Linked DNA regions of Arabidopsis thaliana. The protein of the gene in region 1 purifies or fractionates together with the protein of each later gene. This does not show direct contact. Each region holds a gene or a part of one and is shown in the gene's direction. Other genes may lie near its edges. The genes, in order: EIF3G1, AT2G46290, AT5G44320 and TIF3C2.

Region 1 (4,522 bases):
TGGTGGACTCAGGTCTTGCACTTATCACTCGACCTCTGGCAATTCTTGGTGCTGCTCTTACAGCTTTAAGCTTAGCTTTCCTAAACGACAGGTATTTCTTGTGATTTCGCGTTAGTTTCTACTGTCTATCGTTACTTAAAGATGCATTTGTTATTCCGGTTGTTGTTGGTTCGCATCTATAGAATGTTTAGGAGGAGGTTCTCTATCTATATTCAGTGATTCCTTAAAGTGTCTGTGCTTAGCGTTTAGATTCAATAAGGTTCTCTTGATGGTATATAAAACTCGAGTGTTGCAAAGTTCTCTATTTTCAATGATTAGCCCTTAAAATGTCTGTGCGTAGTACTAAATTCAATAGTTTATGGCGTTAATTCTGTAAACATGAGGGATTTAAGGTTCCTCTATCATGAGTATTGTCAGTGTAAAACCCTTGATGTGTCTGTGCTTAGTATGAAATTCAATATGTAATGGTGTTGTTTCTTAAAACTTGAGTGTTTTAAGTTTCTCTATTTTCAGTGATTTGCATGGTTGGTTTTTACTTTACTCATTGATTTGATGGCGCTAAGGTTTTTCTTGTCTTTTGCAGTTTTGCAGCTACTTTTAATGAGAAGATGATCCGGACCATTAGGCATTTCTCGCCACATTTAGCTGCAAAGATGAGGCCTCCCCACATGTGAGTAATTTTTTATTCCCATGGAAGAGTTACAGATGGTTTTTGTTATTTACTACTTGAGTGAACACCTTGCAGGCCTGTCATTCGTGGGCGATCTGCAACTAGAAAGACAGTCTACATTTGTGGCCAACCACGTTTGGTATTCGTCTTACTTGGCTTAACCGGTACTTATTATCTCTTTATCATATAATCTCTCTCACCTATTGGTATGCAACTTCTCTGTGAACTGATGCAAAATATATGATTTTCCTTATGTAGCCAGTTTTGTCCTGTGGTTTACTTCATGTGGTTTGTTATGGGTCCTCTATGCACTTACCACTGCCCTTCTCAGTAAGCTATCCTTGCTTTCATCTCTTTCTCTGTTTTTTTGGGTCCAGTTTCCATCCTTTTGACTTGTAATTTTTCTCTCTCCCTTAGTGATACTTCTTCATGCAAGCCTGAGAACTCCAAACCTCAAGGCCCGCTTGAACACATTCCGTGAAGAATTCAGGGCTGTCTGGCGTAACTACAGCGAACTTTAAAGTCAACATAAAGCATTGATTCGATCTTATTGCAAACCAACCCGGGACATCACAGGGGTTTCGAGGAAAGACATGAACTCCAATTCCTTCATCATGTGCACAAACAATCGCAGTTATTCTTGTCTTCCAGTAGTAAGCTAGTAAATTATAAGGCCACTGGTCTGGTTACAGATGCGGCTCTTTGTTCTAGTTAGTTGACTAGAACTACAAGGCAGAATATAGTGTTGTTTTCTTAAGGTTCTTTGTATACTCTTTCAGTCTATAAAGTGTGTAAGTGATTCAGTTTTACAAAATCTTTCATTGGCTTTTTCTACGTATAGTTTTTGGATTTGAGATAGAACAGTACAGTGCTTTATCAATTGTGTTTTAAAATTTTGGTAGACAAAACGCCAAAACATGTGGGCTTCGCTTGTGGAATCAGTAGTTCTTTTAAAAGAAGAATCAATCCTGTAAATAAGTGTTATAACGAAAAGCCCAAAAAACATAAGAGAGTCTAAATTAATTCCTAGAAGAGGGTAAGAGGCTTAGTGGAGCGGGCCTGGACACAGCTTTTTGTAGATATTAGAATTTTAAAAATTGAATTTCTTCACATTAAAATTGCTACTGGACCAAGTAAAATTCTGAAGGAATCAAAACGGTGCGTTCCGGTTACGGAGCACACACAGATAAGATAGGAAACCCTAAAAGTGCTTCTTCTTCTTCGTCTTCTTCTTCAGTTTTAGGTTACGATCGAAGCAAAAGCGGCGCATCTGAATCCCAAACGAGTGACGATGACGATCGATTCGCAGCAAAAAACGAGCAAATTCAGATGGGGGGAAATGGACGAAGACGAAGATCTGGATTTCTTGCTCCCTCCCAAGCAGGTGATTGGTCCAGATGAGAATGGTTTGAAGACGACGATCGAGTACAAATTCAACGATGAAGAAAATAAGGTTAAGATAACGACTAGGACACGTGTCCGCAAGCTAGCTTCTGCTCGACTCAACAAACGAGCCATGGAGAGGAGGAACTGGCCTAAGTTCGGAGACGCAGCCAATGAGGAAGCTGGTAGCCATCTCACTATGGTTTCTACCGAAGAGATCCTTCTCGAACGACCCCGAGCTCCTGGTAAATTCTCTCCCTCTGATGATGATGATGATTCTGGTGATTTTTGTTTGTTGAGATTCGTGGGGTTATTGGTTCGTATTGAATTTGGAGTTAAAATTATAAATTTGTGCACTTTGATCTAATTGAGTTGGTAAAATGTTCAGTCTTATGGCTGTGCTAATTGTGTGAATAAGTTTCTAGACTCACCTAGAAAGATGTTGTTTGTGATATGTTCTAACTTGGGATTGCTGTCCAATTCATTGTTTGATTCATTAGTTTTATTGTTTAGTCTAATACTATTGGGTTAAGGTGACCAATTAGCGAATCACATGTTAGCCGTGAGGCTACTTGTTTGTGTGATTGGTCAGTATGTCACCGATAGCAGTTTATTGTTTGTAGTCCATTCCTGAGTACGAGCTGAAATGTGCTCTCACTTTTGTGGCTGCTAACTGTACACATAGATGTTGCAGCTTTTCATTGGTCTCCTACTTGATGTTAGGAAGCTTTAGTTTCGATTGTTAAAGCTTTTCTCCTGTGACATGTTGTCTCCCATTTGATGTTTGGAAGCTTTAGTTTCGATTGTTAAAAATTTTGTCCTGTGACATGTTGTCTCCTTTTGTGTTATTACCTTGATGAAAAAATTAGATTGATGTAGGAGTCACCATGATCTTGTGTTTCAATGAACCAATGTCAAATGGTTTGTAAACGGGCAAAGTTTAAGTTCCTTGATAATGTTACTAGGGCTTTCGTGATCAATCTATTGATAGGTGAATGACTAGTTGTATAGATAGCCATCAAAGATGATGTTAATCAGTGGCTTATAGTGCAGACATAGGTTGCTATGTTTGATTCTGTGGCTATGCATTACTGTATCATTTTAAAGTTGACTATGAGTTGGCCATTGGTTCACAACTATCTTTCATTCTTTGTGTAATTGTGTGTATCTTAACGGTGTGTGATACTTCAGGTACCAAAGCGGATGAATCAAAGGCAACAGGAGATGGCTTGTCTCAGCTGGGTAAAGGTGGTGCAGTTCTCATGGTGTGCAGGATATGCCACAAGAAAGGAGATCACTGGACATCAAAATGTCCATACAAGGATCTAGCTGCACCAACCGATGTCTTCATTGACAAGCCACCCACAGGGGAATCATCTACCATGTCTGCTGCACCTGGAACTGGCAAGGCCGCGTATGTCCCGCCTAGCATGAGAGCAGGTGCAGACAGAAGCGCTGTGGGTTCAGACATGAGGAGGAGGAACGATGAGAACTCTGTGCGTGTAACCAATCTGTCCGAGGATACCCGTGAACCTGACTTGATGGAGCTGTTCCACCCGTTTGGAGCTGTCACACGTGTCTATGTGGCCATTGATCAGAAAACTGGAGTGAGCAGAGGATTTGGTTTCGTCAATTTCGTGAGCAGAGAAGACGCTCAAAGAGCAATCAACAAATTGAATGGTTATGGTTATGATAACCTCATCCTCAGGGTTGAATGGGCAACTCCAAGACCAACCTAGAAAGAAATGTCTGATGTTGAGACCTTAAAACTCTTCTCATTCTCGTCTTTCTTGTTATGGATTTTTGTTTATCGACCAGTTTGTTTGTTGGTTTGGTTTCTGTATGAATAGATGAGAATTTGTTCAATTTCTCTTTAATACATAAGGCATGCTTTTTAAAAAATGGATTTGTGTGATACGTAAGAGTTTTCCAACACTTTTTTCATTGATGTCTAAAATTATTTGTGATGTTTGTTTAACATTCCCCGTTTCACAAAAATATTGTTTGACTTTTACTTTTTCGTTCTAAGATATCAATCAAAATAATAATCTTTATTAATGAAGAATATAACTAATTAACAAATGTTAGTACGTATATTCTTTTAATTGTAATTATAACATTTTCGTATCATTATGTAAAAATAAGAAAATTTCCTTTGTTAAATTTAGTCGAAAAAGTAAAATTTCCATTTATTTTTAACTGCATATATATCAGCTTAAGTAATTTCTTCTTAGTAGAAGGTCAAATTTTAGAATTTCATTGAAACAATGGAAAAGGTTTCAAAACTCAGTATTATCTTCCGTGACGAACTACAAAACTTCAACAATGACTATGTCGAAAATATAGATGTCGTCGGCAAAAAAACATCTAATTCATCATCGGACAATGAAAGCGACCAATTCGCCAGCTTGTTTGGTTCTTCGTCACCGTCTTCGTTTCAAATGCCTCTTCAGTACCCGAATTACGCAA
Region 2 (4,588 bases), on another chromosome or scaffold:
AGATACAGCTATCTCTCTGTAGTGATACACATGAGGAAAAACAGATTAACTGATATAATGGAATTTTGTTATTTTTGGACTTCTTATCCTAATTCTGAAAAACAAGCCATTTTTTTCGAATTCCACATTTCCACTTGACATTTTACCAATTTAGGCCCCCAAAAATGGCACACCATTTCGATATCTATATTTTTGTTTACGAAACATTTCAGCCCATATACTTTACGGGCCCATTAGTGTCTAAAGATTCATACGCCACCTGAACAATATTTTCCCACCACCATTACACAAACATGTCGAAAATATTCTTAACATAAAAATCACCACATTACATTATGTTTACTGCCCAAATAATAACCCACATAAAATATTACACACAAAATAATCTATCTCACACAAAATAATAATAAAACAAACACTCGCTAAATATGCCCCCCTCAGTGAATTTGATCAAATACCCCAAAAATAAAATTAATAACATGTGTGGAGTATAAAACACGAAAAAATAAAATTACAAAAGAAAGAAGATAACATATCTACAGTAAAGTTACAAGTATACAGATGTTAGATCATCGTGTTTTTCCAAATCCTCGAATCCTTCCGTCTTGTTACTGTATAGTTACCCTGCAACGTAATAATTAATAATCTCATATAAAAGTTTAGAAATTTTGGATGTAATTAACATCAAAAACCAAAATCCTAATTACTGATAATTTTGTACCATTTGAGTGTATTGAGAATGCATTTAGGTGAATCAGTATCAAGCTTGTTCAAGCTAACGCCACCGCATCTCAAATTAACGGCGAGCATTCCGATCTTAATACCGCCGACACCTAATCCAACTTTAGTCTTGGCAACAACGTTAATGACCAAATCTTTGCTCTGAAATTTCGCAGCGAGTCTCTTAGCCAATCCTCTCTCCACGAGCTGATTCTTCACCGTCGTCTCCACTTTCACGCTCGTCGAGTTTTTGGGACCTTGTCGGAATCCATTCATCGTCGTCTCTCCCATCCCGGTCTCATCGTTTCCCGAACCAACGCTCAAATCAACGGCAGTGTTTCCGTAGTAAAAAACGAGTTTCGAGTTCGGATTCTTCATCTCAACGCGGGCAACGGCGGTGGCGGAGAGAGACGCGCCGTCGGGATCGTCGGCGAGTTTGAAGCCGTCGAGACGGAAGGAAGCGAGGCTGAAAGTGGGAAGCTTAGGATCGAACCAGAGGTAGAAAACAGCTGTTCCGACCAAGAGGAGGAAGATGAAGAGAACAAGAGTAATGCAGATGCAACAGCAACAGAAACGACAACAGCTTCTACGTTTTTTCTTTGGTCGGTAAGAAGTAGGCATAGGGACGGCTTTTCTCATAGGTTGTTGTTGAATGGGAGGTGGAGGAGGAGGAGGAGAGGACATGTTTGGATCTCTGTAACCTGGTGGCTTTTGAAGAACCGGGTTCATCTGATAATCTGCCATCTTTTTTCTCTTAATTATTCACCTCTCTGACGATCTCCTGATAAATCGTATCAAGGAAGATCAAAACGAAATCTTCAAAATGGAGAGAGAGATGCTATGATGATGATGATTGCAGGCAAACTTGGTTTCTAAGAGATTTTGAGTTTTTGGAAGAGAGAGAGAGAGAAGAGAATGTTTTTTTGTGTTGCGTTGTCTCTTCTCTCTCGTTAATGGAAGAAGGCTGAGACGTGAGGAAGGGATTTCGTTTTAGGCCCGAGACTCACGCGCGCCGTTTTTGTTGCTGACGTGTTCCCTCTTTTTTCTCTTCTTCCTACATTCATTGAAATATTCAAATTTCAGTTATTAGATTAGTCGATTAATTTATAACTGATAATCATATTGAGTTTGATACATCCAAAGTGGCATGGGCCTACAGATTAGATGTTTAGGCCAGGTGGACTCTGTTTCGAGCCCATTACTGCCACGTGGCTCTATTCGGAGTTATTTACCAATGGTACGCTCACCGGTTTAACGATTCACCACTTAAAGCCCTCAAAATCTCAGAGAACGCTCGCTGATCAAATCCGTCGTCCTTCAACCGTCGCCTCCTCCGTCATGACAATTGAGTGCGTTAATCCCGAAGGTCTTCGATTCAACCAAGTATGTGCACATATCTCTTCCTCCGTTTGGTCATGTACTTGTTTCCGATTAATGTATTATCTTTTGTTCTTTCTATTGAATTGATTTCGTATCTGTTTGCAAGATGAAAAGCTCCTCTCATCAAACCCTAGAAACGAGGATGAGGCCGATTTTGATGAAGGGACATGAACGTCCATTGACGTTCCTGAGGTACAACAGAAATGGTGATCTGCTTTTCTCCTGCGCCAAAGACCACACTCCCACAGTCTGGTTTGCCGATAACGGCGAGCGTCTTGGCACTTACCGTGGCCACAGTGGTGCTGTTTGGTGCTGTGATATCTCCAGTAAGTGGTCTCAGCCTCTCAAATTCAAATAGTATATAGTGGATGGAATGGATTCAGTTTAGGATTTAAGTCGTTGTCTTTGTTGTTTTAGTCTTTCATAGCTTAACGATTAGTGTTTTGTTTGTGATTTCTTAGGAGACTCGTCTAGATTGATCACTGGTAGTGCTGATCAGACTGCAAAGCTGTGGGATGTGAAATCTGGCAAAGAATTGTTCACTTTCAAGTTTGGTGCCCCTGCAAGGTCTGTGGATTTCTCTGTTGGTGATCATCTTGCAGTGATTACCACTGATCACTTCGTGGGAACTTCCTCTGCTATTCATGTCAAACGCATTGCAGAAGATCCCGAAGACCGTAAGTTGTCAATTCTAAGTTAAAATCTACTTATGTTTTTTAGCCTATGTCTTTTTTGTATGGGTAAAAGGAATTGATTTAATGTAATTGATGTAGAGGTTGGTGATTCTGTGCTTGTCCTTCAAAGTCCTGATGGAAAGAAGAAGATCAATAGAGCTGTTTGGGGTCCCCTGAACCAAACCATTGTTAGTGGTGGTGAAGATGCTGCTATCAGAATCTGGGATGCAGAGGTATTTCAACTTTCTTAAGGCCTTTCTTTTGTCTATCAATATCTCTCTTTTTTTTTTTATTAGCTTAAACCTTATGTGGTGCTACTGCCATTGTTACTAGACTGGAAAATTGCTTAAGCAATCAGATGAGGAAGTGGGTCACAAGGAGGCCATTACATCCCTCTGCAAAGCAGCTGATGACTCTCACTTCCTTACAGGTTCACATGACAAAACTGCAAAGGCATGTGCTTCTTTCTTTTACTTGTTTCAAAAATATGCTCTATACATATTACATATAGAGATAAATCATCTAATAGAGTGTTCTTTTTGTTGATTCTTTCAGCTTTGGGACATGAGAACGCTGACTCTTATTAAGACTTACACCACTGTGGTGCCTGTAAATGCTGTCGCCATGTCTCCACTTCTCAACCATGTATGCACTAATGCTTCTTGAAATTCAAATTCGGTTCCCAAAAGCAACAAGTCTTGATGTTATCTTTGTGAATGTTTCTGCTCTCGCTCTTTTAGGTTGTGCTTGGAGGTGGTCAAGATGCATCAGCTGTGACTACCACTGATCATCGTGCTGGGAAGTTTGAAGCTAAGTTTTACGACACGGTTAGTGTTGCAGTAAAACAGTTTTATTTAAAAACTTGTAACCTGGAAAGAGATATGTAACTGTGTATTTGGTCTTATAATATATAGATTCTGCAAGAGGAAATTGGTGGCGTGAAAGGTCATTTTGGACCTATTAATGCTTTGGCATTCAGTCCTGATGGGAAGAGGTAAACTAACAAAATTTGATTTTGATTGATTGATACAATCCTCAGTTGATGAGAGTGTTTTTTAGGCTTTGTTGCTGAGTGTTTTTTGGAATGTATTTTCAGTTTCTCTAGTGGAGGTGAAGACGGCTACGTGAGACTGCATCATTTTGACTCCAATTACTTCAACATCAAGATTTAGATTCTTTGAACATGTCTTTCCATTTTTTCATCATTCCACATAATATTTTCTCTCTTTTTAACATTTTCAGAATTGATGTACTACCAAATTACCAATATACTACTTTGATGATAAAGCTTGTTGTTTGTCTTTTCAAATAGACATATGCACCCACAAAAAAAAAACGTATGAAACTGCTTTTGAGAAAGGAAAAAAACAAAATAGGCGCAACGGGCGAGGTTCGAACTCATCAAATAGGGAAGAAGCTAAAAACGCTGAAGCCACTGAGCTTTGCTAAACTGTGGCATCTCGAGTAATTTAAAAAATTACAAAAGGGTAAAAGTGTCAAAAGAGAGGACAAAGTTGATTTCCTAGGGTTTTTGCACTTCTTCCTCGTCGTCTCTCTCGTCTTCAAGTGAACAGGTGAAGAAGAAAGCCGTTTTCCGTAATCGTTTCTTCAATTATTTTTCTTGTCTTTTGATTGATTCGATTTCGTATCTGTTTCAAAGATTCGCATCAAACCCTAAGAAACTGAAGATGAGGCCGATCCTGATGAAGGGACATGAACGTCCATTGACGTTTCTGAGGTACAACAGAGAAGGAGATCTGCTTTTCTCCTGCGCCAAGGACCACACACCCACCCTCTGGTTTGCCGATAACGGC
Region 3 (4,734 bases), on another chromosome or scaffold:
GTCCAGAACCTGAGCTTTCGAGAAGCACCAATTGTCGCATCCCATTTACTCTGATCTACTTCCTCATCTACCCATTTACATTCCCGGGGTTGTGTAGTCAGACCTGGTGAGTTTTGTTCAACCGATTCAGAGGAAGCATGCGAGTTTGTCTTGTGAATATTACCCAGTTCAGTGCTAGTTCCAGCTAGAGCCTTCTTTCCTTTCATCCCACCTGAACATCTCGAAGAGAAGTTATCTGAAAAGCTACTTGTCAGCAAATCTTCTGGTTTATCCGCTACTGTTGCTTGTTCTCTTTCTGCTAACATCTCAGTAGCCCGTTCAAAAGACTTGCAAAACGGTTCATTCTTCCATTGATTCCCTAGAGACTGTTTTACATCCTCAAGCAGAGATTTAGCTTCATGGGTTCTTTCCATACGTATCAAACAGATTGCAAGATTGCACAACTTGTTATTGTCAGGTTCCAAAGACAAAGCATTCCTATCACAGTAAAACCCATTTCACTTGTTAAGGCAATGATAAAACTAACATTCTTAATGGGATTGATGGTGTTTCACAAACCTGTAATACTGCTCTGCAATTCCATAGTTATGAAGCTGTAAGTGAACCCAAGCTAAGTTCCCTAGAATCCTACATATCCAAACACCAAGAAAGTCAGAGAAACTACTCTTTCAGGTATAAAGCGGAGATGGGAGATTGTCTTGCCGTGCTTTCTCTTGCTCGATTGTCTTGTTATTCTGCTCCTCATGGCTTCTTTTCGCTATTTTGATCCTGCCACCATAATGTTTGTCTTGTTCAAGTGTTCTCAGTTTGTGTTCAAGCAGCTCAGCGACCTCTGTAATCCTCCCAGACTTCTGCAAAACCAAAATCCATCAAAATCACATACTGAGCATAGAAATAGCTTCACAATTAGTCATACTGAGAAAGTTTTACCATGTAGAGTTCAAGTAACAAGTTATCAATAGAATCTTGAGATTCAAAAGGGCAGAGATATCGAAAAGACTTGATAGCTTCGATTCCTTCATCGAATCGGTTCAACTGTTTTAAAACAACTACCATGTCCTTCAATGCACTATCAACTCTATCTCCAGCATTAATCGCCGCCCAAAACAACGAGATAGCTCGATTCGGGTCTTTAGAAACCAACTGTTATTGAAAACAATTCCATGTCAAGAACAAACGTTCATACACATAAACCAATACAATTCACTAAAAACCCTATATTGATATTACCTGAGCATGTTTGGCTCTGACGTAAGGAGAATCACCAGTACGAACCCTAAACGATTCTTGATTCTCGATCAAAGGTGATCTTTTCCTCTCCGAAATCGGCATCGCAATGTAAACTCTTCTCGTCGTGTGCCATGACGGTGGTGGAGTCAAGAAACCTCCTCCCTTAGCACCACGGCTCTCACGACGCCGCATAGTGAGAATCTTCTTTTCTCGGGAAAATCTTCTTTACTTCCCCGAGAAAATGTTTCCGATGATCAAATTTTTGGGGTTCTATGGAACGTGTTTGTTAAAGATTAAGAAGCAAAGCGATTCCAAGCCGGAAAAGAGAAGAGACTAATGGAGAAATTTTCCCGAGAAAATTGGAGATTCTTTTTGAATTTTCTCTGAAGAAGAGAAGAGAGTAAAAAAGTCTTTATATAGTTGGACCTTAAGTAACCAATGAAAAACTTAGGGGAAAGAAGTGAGACATGGATATAAAAACAAGGATCTAAATAAAATAAGTTTTGCGACGAGTACAAATTCGTAAACTTTTGAATTGAAGTGCAACGTTCAGTTATTGGTTAACAGATCATGAACCGGTTCTAAGCCGGTTTCTTAATTCCTTAATAAATGTACGGTTGAATATAACCCAAAATTTCGATTGAGAGAATATAGCCCAAACCAAAAGCATTGGTTAGCTTAAACCGACGTCCTTTTGACTGAGTGAGATAATAATGGGCTTAAAAGGGCTAGAGTTTCTTATGACAAGAGAAAAGCCCATTGAGGCCCATTAAGGGCTAGGGTTTTCATTGTTGACAAAATAAAATACAAATTTTTCACTTGCGCACATCTTCTTCGCAAATCTCAACAATGGTGTTTGAAGCATTCGAAGTCGGCACAGTCCCATTCAATTCCGATGGTTGGGGACCACCAGATGCTTCCGACACTTCCTCCACCAGCGTCGCGGCGGCGAATCTCCTCCCAAACGTCCCCTTCGCTTCCTTCTCACGATCCGAAAAACTCGGACGCGTTGCTGATTGGACTCGAGCTCTCTCAAATCCATCAGCTCGTCCTCACACCGGATCCAAATCAGATCCATCAGCGATCTTCGATTTCTCAGCTTTTGCAGTAGATGAAGGATTTGGTCTAACAAACTCAGGTGGAAACGCCGACGAAGACGCCGCTTTCCGATTAGTCGACGGAAAACCACCGCCGCGTCCTAAATTCGGACCTAAATGGAGATTCAATCAATACCATAACCGAAATCAGCTTCCTCAACGTCGTGATGAAGAAGTTGAAGCTAAGAAACGTGAAGCTGAGAAAGATCGAGCTCGTCGTGATCGTCTCTACAATAACAATCGTAACAATATTCATCAGCAACGCCGTGAAGCCGCCGCGTTTAAATCATCAGTTGATATTCAACCGGAATGGAATATGCTTGAGCAGATTCCGTTTTCGACTTTCTCTAAGCTTTCGTTTACAGTTTCTGAACCTGAAGATCTTCTTCTTTGTGGTGGACTTGAGTCTTATGATCGGAGTTTTGATCGTATTACTCCTAAAGCTGATCGTAGACTTGAGCGTTTCAAGAACAGAAGCTTTAAGGTTACTACAAGTGATGATCTTGTGATCAGACGTCTTGCTAAAGAAGATAAAGCTACTGTTTTTGCTACTGATGCTATTCTAGCTGCTCTTATGTGTGCTCCTAGATCGGTTTATTCATGGGATCTTGTGATTCAACGTGTTGGGAATAAGCTTTTCTTTGATAAGAGAGATGGGTCACCGCTTGATTTGTTATCTGTTCATGAGACTTCTCAAGAGCCTTTGCCTGAGGGTAAAGATGATATTAACTCTGCTCATTCTCTAGGTCTGGAGGCTGCTTATATTAATCAGAATTTTGCTCAGCAGGTTTTGGTTAAGAATGGGAAAAGGGAAACTTTTGATGAGCCAATTCCTAATGTTAATGAAGGTGAAGAGAATGCTTCTATTGCTTATAGGTATAGGAGATGGAAGCTTGATGATAGTATGTATCTAGTTGCTAGGTGTGAGTTACAGAGCACTGTTGATTTGAATAACCAGAGATCGTTTTTAACTTTGAATGCTCTTAACGAGTTTGATCCTAAGTACTCTGGTGTTGATTGGAGACAGAAGCTTGAGACTCAGAGAGGTGCGGTTTTAGCTAATGAGTTGAAGAACAATGGTAATAAGTTAGCTAAATGGACTGCGCAGGCTCTCTTGGCTAATGCGGATATGATGAAGATTGGGTTTGTTTCGAGGGTTCATCCTCGTGATCATTTTAACCATGTTATATTATCGGTTTTGGGGTATAAGCCGAAAGATTTCGCTGGGCAGATCAATCTGAACACTAACAATATGTGGGGAATTGTGAAGTCGATTGTTGATCTGTGTATGAAGTTAAGTGAAGGAAAGTATGTTCTAGTGAAGGATCCATCGAAGCCTCAAGTTAGGATTTACGAAGTTCCGGCTGATGCATTTGACAATGATTATGTGGAGGAGCCACTCCCTGAAGATGAACAGGTTCAGCCACCTGAGGAGAACACTGATGCAGGAGCAGAGACTAATGGGGTTTCCTCTACTAATGTAGCTGTAGAGGATAAGAAATCCGAAGTTGAAGCCTGATTTTGATGATATGGGTATATTTCAAGTCGTGTTGTTTTGAGTTACTTTTAAAAAATGTTCGAAAGCTTGTTCACTTTTTCATAGACTATTTATGTTCCAAAATGTTGGTTCATGCTTTCTTGGTTGTTTTTGAATTAACTCTTTGAACTTAAAAGGTCATCACTGTGGTAGGTGCTTGGTCATTGATATTCCGGCATTAGAGAACAGTAGCATCTTTGATTATTCGTGAGACTCTTTTCTGATCGAGAATATGCTTTTTCTCAAGTGTTTATATATCAGTTTTCTCAAGCCAAAATTAATTATTGAAAGCCTAAAATTGTTAGCAGTTTGTTGGGCACAAGTAAAGCTTTCTTTAATGTTAAGTAATTGTGAGATTTGTTTAACCCACTGATCCTTCAAGCTTAATGCTCAAAAGCTGGTTAACTTCGGCTCCAAATTCATTAGGCAACTTGTTGAAAACATCTCTGCAAAATCCAGAGATCATTGCCGCTAATGCTCTCTCATGATCGATACCTCTCTGTTGAAAATAGAAAATCTGATCTTCTCCAATCTTTGAAGTACTTGCTTCATGCTCTATTCTCGCCGATGGATTCTTTACCTGTTATAAGATCTTCATTAGAGGTGCTTTTATCATAACCTTATAATAAAAGGTTAGATGATCATATACAAAGTACCTGTATGTAAGGATATGTATTAGCGGCTGCATTGTCACCAATAAGCATCGAGTCACAAGTCGAAGTATTTCTAGCGTTCTCAGCTCTGGATTGGTCCATGTATCAGCTTGCTGGTAGTTATTAGTCAATGATACGGATTAAAACTCTCCAACGGAATCATCTCCTTCTAAAACCACGCTTGGATACTTCCAAGTTATCGCGAACCCTTTCTCAA
Region 4 (4,734 bases), 4.5 Mb from region 1:
AGACGATTAATAAAATTTGGTACCCCATTGTAGGTTTGTTGACTTGGATGTTCCCACTTGTATCGAAAATAGGATCTGACACAATGTTCCTAACCTAAATTTTGTTTTTAAAGTAAATTAGTCAAGTAATGACTTGCAAACTAAGGTGGGGTTTTAAAGTAAGGAGTGTCCAAACAACAGTACCTTCATGTTTGCGTATGAATGGACAAATTTCTTTGGATGACATCAATAACGATGATCACATGATGTGCAAAAGCAAGTCTAACTGATGTATTCACCCACTCGCCTAAAGAAATTAACAAAGTTAAAAGTTTGATATTATGTACTCTAAGGTTTTCTATTGACTAATCACATTATAATGACCAATTATATCAACACAAATGGATAAGTCAAATTACTCTTTTACAACTTAATACCAGACAATCAATGTTGAGTAGCAGTAAGAACAAAGTTAAATCAATATCCTAATCTGGCCATAGGATCACCTAAAGCTCTAGCATCCAAGCTTACATATTATTTCTTAAATCAATGATTTGATTTCTTCCAAAATGTAAGATTAAGAAATAGAACCTTTATATGGCTTTTTCCTTGAATTATCAAACACCAAGCTGTGCAGTCATGTATGGTCGTGGACAATGATTTTCAATTTTGTAACGACACATACGCTGCAAACAAAATGTGTGGTTGTCCATTACGGATTGTCCAAGTGTTGTAGTCCATATGTTCATCTTCTGTCCAATAGAGAACCTCAAGTACTGAATTTCAAACAAACTGGGCAGAGAAGTTATCAAACATTATCACAGAATTACGAACAAGATCTCCGAAGTCAACATGACAAAACTTTACCTTAGTTGTTCCGAAATTCTTGAACTTTTCTCGAAGTAACCTCAATTGAAATTGAAATTGAGTTTGGACAGTACGAGTTAAGAGATTTTCAGGCAAAGTAAATCCAAATCGATTTAAGAAATTGCAGAGATTTAGAGGAAATGACAAGAGAATTGGGTTTGGTGTTTTACGGTTGAAAGAGCAAACGAGAGTGTAGTGTGAAAAGCAGTGGTGGTGGACAGTGACGGAGGAGATGGATATCCCGTCGCCGGAGTCCCCTTTTCGAGAAATTGTAATTTAGGATTTTTTATTGGATTTGGATTTTTACGATTCTGGAAAAAAAATTTAAATCACAAAGGCAACTACAAAATCGTGGACTCCATAAATCTGAATTGGTTTAGTGAAAATAGATTTGATTTGTTTGGTTATAGAAAACCGACGATACGAGGGTGAACAAGTAATTTTAATTATTCAAAGTGCCTAATGATTTTTAAGTGCCTAATTACGGATAAACTTTCAAAAAAGTGTCTAATCACGTAATATTCTCTTATAGTAAACCCTAATTCGCCTCTCTTCTTAACGATTCGTTATTCTCTAGTCAAGCATCTCCATCGTCTCACATCAATCTCTCCATCGTCTCAAATCAATCAAAGGTAATTTCATTCTTCTTCATCTTTCCTTGAACAAATTTTAGGTTCGAGTTTTTTGTTCTTCATCTATGTTTTGTGTCCCCCCTGCAATTATATCTCCATCGTCTCAAAGTTTTATATTTTGATGTATCAGGTTCTTCTCCTTGCTAACGAAGATGACGACGACTTCTCGTTTTTTCGCTCAGGTTTCTTTCCATAGACCTTTGTTTACTTATCAAAACCTATATTTTTTTGTAACAGTTTCTTAATGCTTTTTCTTTGCTTATGTTTCGTTTACAGAGTGGAAGTGAAAGTGAAGATGAGAGTGACTTTGAAAAAGAAGAGGTTGAGGGTAACAACACTCGTTACCTTGCAGACTTACCTGACGGTGAGATTTGTTGTGGTATGGATACTAAACGTGTGGTTAAGCCAAAAAAAGATAAACGTTTTGAGGAGATGGCCAACACTATAGAGAATATGAAGCATGCCATGAACATCAATGATTGTGTTTACTTGCAAGAAACGTTTGAGAAACTCAACAAACAGATTAGTAAGTCCGTAAAGACTCCGACTTTGTATATCAAGACCCTTGTGATGTTGGAAGATTTCTTGAATGAAGATAATATGAAAACAAAGGAGAAGATGAGTACTAGTAACTCCAAGGCTTTGAACGCAATGAGACAGAAACTGAAGAAGAACAATCTGCAGTACCAAGAAGATATCAAAAGATTTAGGGAGTCTCCAGAAATCGAAGACGATGATGAGTATGAAGAGGAGGTGGTGGAGGATTCTGCTGATAATGTTTCTTGGGAGATGTTGTTTAGTTTAGATCATGAAGAGATAACTTGGAACATGGTCAACAAGAAGTTCAAAGAAATTAGGGCTGCTCGTTGGAGCAAAAGAAGAAGTTCTAGCCTTAAACTCAAACCCGGCGAGACTCATGCGCAGAAGCATATGGACTTGACAAAGATCGCCAAGACTCCTGCACAGAAGGTTGAAATCTTGTTTAGTGTTATTTCAGCAGAGTTTAATGTGAATTCTGGTGGTCTCAGCGGATACATGCCTATCGATGTCTGGAAGAAATGTGTGGTTAACATGCTTACCATACTTGACATTCTTGTCAAGTACTATAACATTGTTGTGGATGATACCGTTGAACCTGATGAGAAGGAAACTTCAAAGCCAGCGGCATACGATGGAACCATTCGGGTCTCGGGAAATTTGGTTGCATTCTTAGAGAAGATTGAGACAGAGTTTTTCAAGAGTTTGCAGTGCATTGATCCTCACACCAATGATTATGTTGAGAGGTTGAAAGATGAGCCTATGTTCTTGGCTCTTGCTCAGAGTATCCAAGACTACTTGGAGCGGACAGGCGATTCTAAAGCTGCTTCAAAGGTAGCCTTTATACTAGTCGAGTCAATCTATTACAAGCCTCAAGAAGTTTTTGATGCTATGAGTAAATTGGCTGATGAGGAAATTGAGGAGGCTAACGAGGAAAGTGGATCTTCTTCTTCTTCATTCATTGTTGTTGCGGAGATTGTTCCTCGTAAGCCTACCTTCGCAAAGAGCAGCAGAGCTATGATGGATACACTTGTATCCTTTATCTACAAAAATGGAGATGAGAGGACCAAAGCCAGAGCAATGCTATGTGATATCTATCAACATGCTTTAATGGACAATTTTGTTACTGCTAGAGACTTGTTGCTGATGAGTCATCTACAAGAAAACATTCAACACATGGACATCTCTACACAGATTCTCTTTAACAGGACAATGGCACAACTTGGTCTTTGCGCTTTTCGGGTTGGAATGATAACTGAGTCACATAGCTGTCTCTCTGAGCTGTACTCTGGGAATAGAGTTAGGGAGTTGCTTGGTCAAGGTGTCTCGCAAAGTCGAGACCACGAGAAGACAACAGAGCAGGTAAATATTGACCTTATAGAACATATTATGTTCTTTTTCATTTTAGTAGAGTCTAATTTCTCTGTTTTTTGTTTTAACTATAGATGCTTATGGAGAGGAGAACACAAATACCGTACCATATGAACATAAACCTCGAGCTCTTGGAGGCTGTTTATCTTACTTGTGCCATGCTACTTGAAGTCCCAAACATGGCAGCAAACTCGCATGATTCCAAACACAAACCGATTAGCAAGAATATTCAGCGCCTGCTCGAGAAAAGTGAGAAGCAAGCGTTCACTGCACCCCCTGAAAATGTACGTGTCCATGTCATTGCAGCCACCAGAGCCCTGATCAAAGGAAACTTCCAAGAAGCGTTTTCAGTTTTGAACTCTCTTGATATCTGGAGACTGTTCAAGAACCGCGACAGCATACTCGATATGGTGAAAGCTAGTATCAGTGAAGTGGCTCTAAGGACTTATTTATTCACATACTCGAGCTCCTGTTACAAGTCCTTAAGTCTAGCTGAGCTAGCCAAAATGTTTGACATCTCTGAGTCACACGTCTATAGTATTGTGAGCAAGATGATGATCAACAAGGAGCTTAATGCAACATGGGACCAGCCAACTCAATGCATCGTCTTCCATGAAGTGCAACATAACAGAGCACAATCCTTGGCTTTTCAGATTACCGAAAAACTCGCGACTCTAGCAGAAAGCAACGAAAGTGCAATGGAGTCTAAAACTGGTGGTGTTGGCCTTGATATGACTTCAAGGAGAAGGGAAAACAGTCAGGACTATGCAGCAGCAGCATCAGACAACAGAGGTCTGAAAATGGATGGCTCAAGTCTTACCCGAGGCGTTTCTGCGTAAAGAGAATGTGGAGAAATCTGCAGGCAGTGTTAACCTTAGGCTCTTACTAAGAGTCTAAGACCTGTCATTATGTTTCATTACAGTTTTAGGTTTTGTTTTGTTACCAAAGGTTGTTTATGAATTGTTATTGTTGGAGCTCATGTTCTTGCAGCTCTGGTTTTATCAATATGACATCATATGCATACACTGGAATCATTAGACGTTTATAAAATATTTTATTCTTAGCTTCCTTGTTACCAAGTACAGGTACAATAGCAATAAGAGCACCATTAGTCCTTAGAATGGCTACAGTGAGAATATCAGGAAAAGAGTAAATCTGTGGAACACAGCCACAGGAGTCCAACAAGTAAAAAATAAAACAAGCCTTTTTCAGCTAGTTCAGATTTGTTTAGACCAATTCTGAACACTCCCAACCCTAGGCATCGCTTCTTTCTTGGCCTCAGAATCCACTTTAAACGTTACACCGCAAACCTCACCCGAACTGTCTACCCTTGGTACCGGCTTTAACT

Evidence for each region.
Region 2: the proteins of EIF3G1 (region 1) and AT2G46290 fractionate together in Arabidopsis thaliana (co-fractionation; one large-scale study listed by BioGRID). This does not show direct contact.
Region 3: the proteins of EIF3G1 (region 1) and AT5G44320 fractionate together in Arabidopsis thaliana (co-fractionation; one large-scale study listed by BioGRID). This does not show direct contact.
Region 4: the proteins of EIF3G1 (region 1) and TIF3C2 fractionate together in Arabidopsis thaliana (co-fractionation; one large-scale study listed by BioGRID). This does not show direct contact.

What each region holds. Positions count from the first base shown.
Region 1 is NC_003074.8:3,576,575-3,581,096, forward strand, and holds EIF3G1 (eukaryotic translation initiation factor 3G1), read left to right. Parts: upstream 1-1,813; 5' UTR 1,814-1,961; coding exon 1,962-2,298; intron 2,299-2,586; coding exon 2,587-2,615; intron 2,616-2,676; coding exon 2,677-2,728; exon of another isoform or gene 2,729-2,735; intron 2,736-3,244; coding exon 3,245-3,792; 3' UTR 3,793-3,995; downstream 3,996-4,522. Other genes in the region: PRA1.A3 (prenylated RAB acceptor 1.A3), read left to right, coding at 13-91, 584-670, 746-834, 929-1,000, 1,088-1,191; AT3G11405 (uncharacterized protein), read left to right, coding at 4,321-4,522.
Region 2 is NC_003071.7:19,005,268-19,009,855, reverse strand, and holds AT2G46290 (Transducin/WD40 repeat-like superfamily protein), read left to right. Parts: upstream 1-1,903; 5' UTR 1,904-2,058; coding exon 2,059-2,103; intron 2,104-2,206; coding exon 2,207-2,426; intron 2,427-2,561; coding exon 2,562-2,777; intron 2,778-2,873; coding exon 2,874-3,007; intron 3,008-3,107; coding exon 3,108-3,227; intron 3,228-3,329; coding exon 3,330-3,419; intron 3,420-3,514; coding exon 3,515-3,601; intron 3,602-3,688; coding exon 3,689-3,768; intron 3,769-3,870; coding exon 3,871-3,946; 3' UTR 3,947-4,085; downstream 4,086-4,588. Other genes in the region: AT2G46300 (Late embryogenesis abundant (LEA) hydroxyproline-rich glycoprotein family), read right to left, coding at 609-624, 722-1,464; TRIP-1 (TGF-beta receptor interacting protein 1), read left to right, coding at 4,463-4,588.
Region 3 is NC_003076.8:17,854,013-17,858,746, reverse strand, and holds AT5G44320 (Eukaryotic translation initiation factor 3 subunit 7 (eIF-3)), read left to right. Parts: upstream 1-2,006; 5' UTR 2,007-2,079; coding exon 2,080-3,846; 3' UTR 3,847-4,200; downstream 4,201-4,734. Other genes in the region: AT5G44330 (Tetratricopeptide repeat (TPR)-like superfamily protein), read right to left, coding at 1-477, 559-627, 703-851, 931-1,143, 1,231-1,422; ABCI9 (Stabilizer of iron transporter SufD superfamily protein), read right to left, coding at 4,226-4,444, 4,521-4,605, 4,665-4,734.
Region 4 is NC_003074.8:8,090,145-8,094,878, reverse strand, and holds TIF3C2 (eukaryotic translation initiation factor 3 subunit C2), read left to right. Parts: upstream 1-1,630; coding exon 1,631-1,660; intron 1,661-1,754; coding exon 1,755-3,377; intron 3,378-3,460; coding exon 3,461-4,225; downstream 4,226-4,734. Other genes in the region: AT3G22850 (aluminum induced protein with YGL and LRDR motifs), read right to left, coding at 4,604-4,734.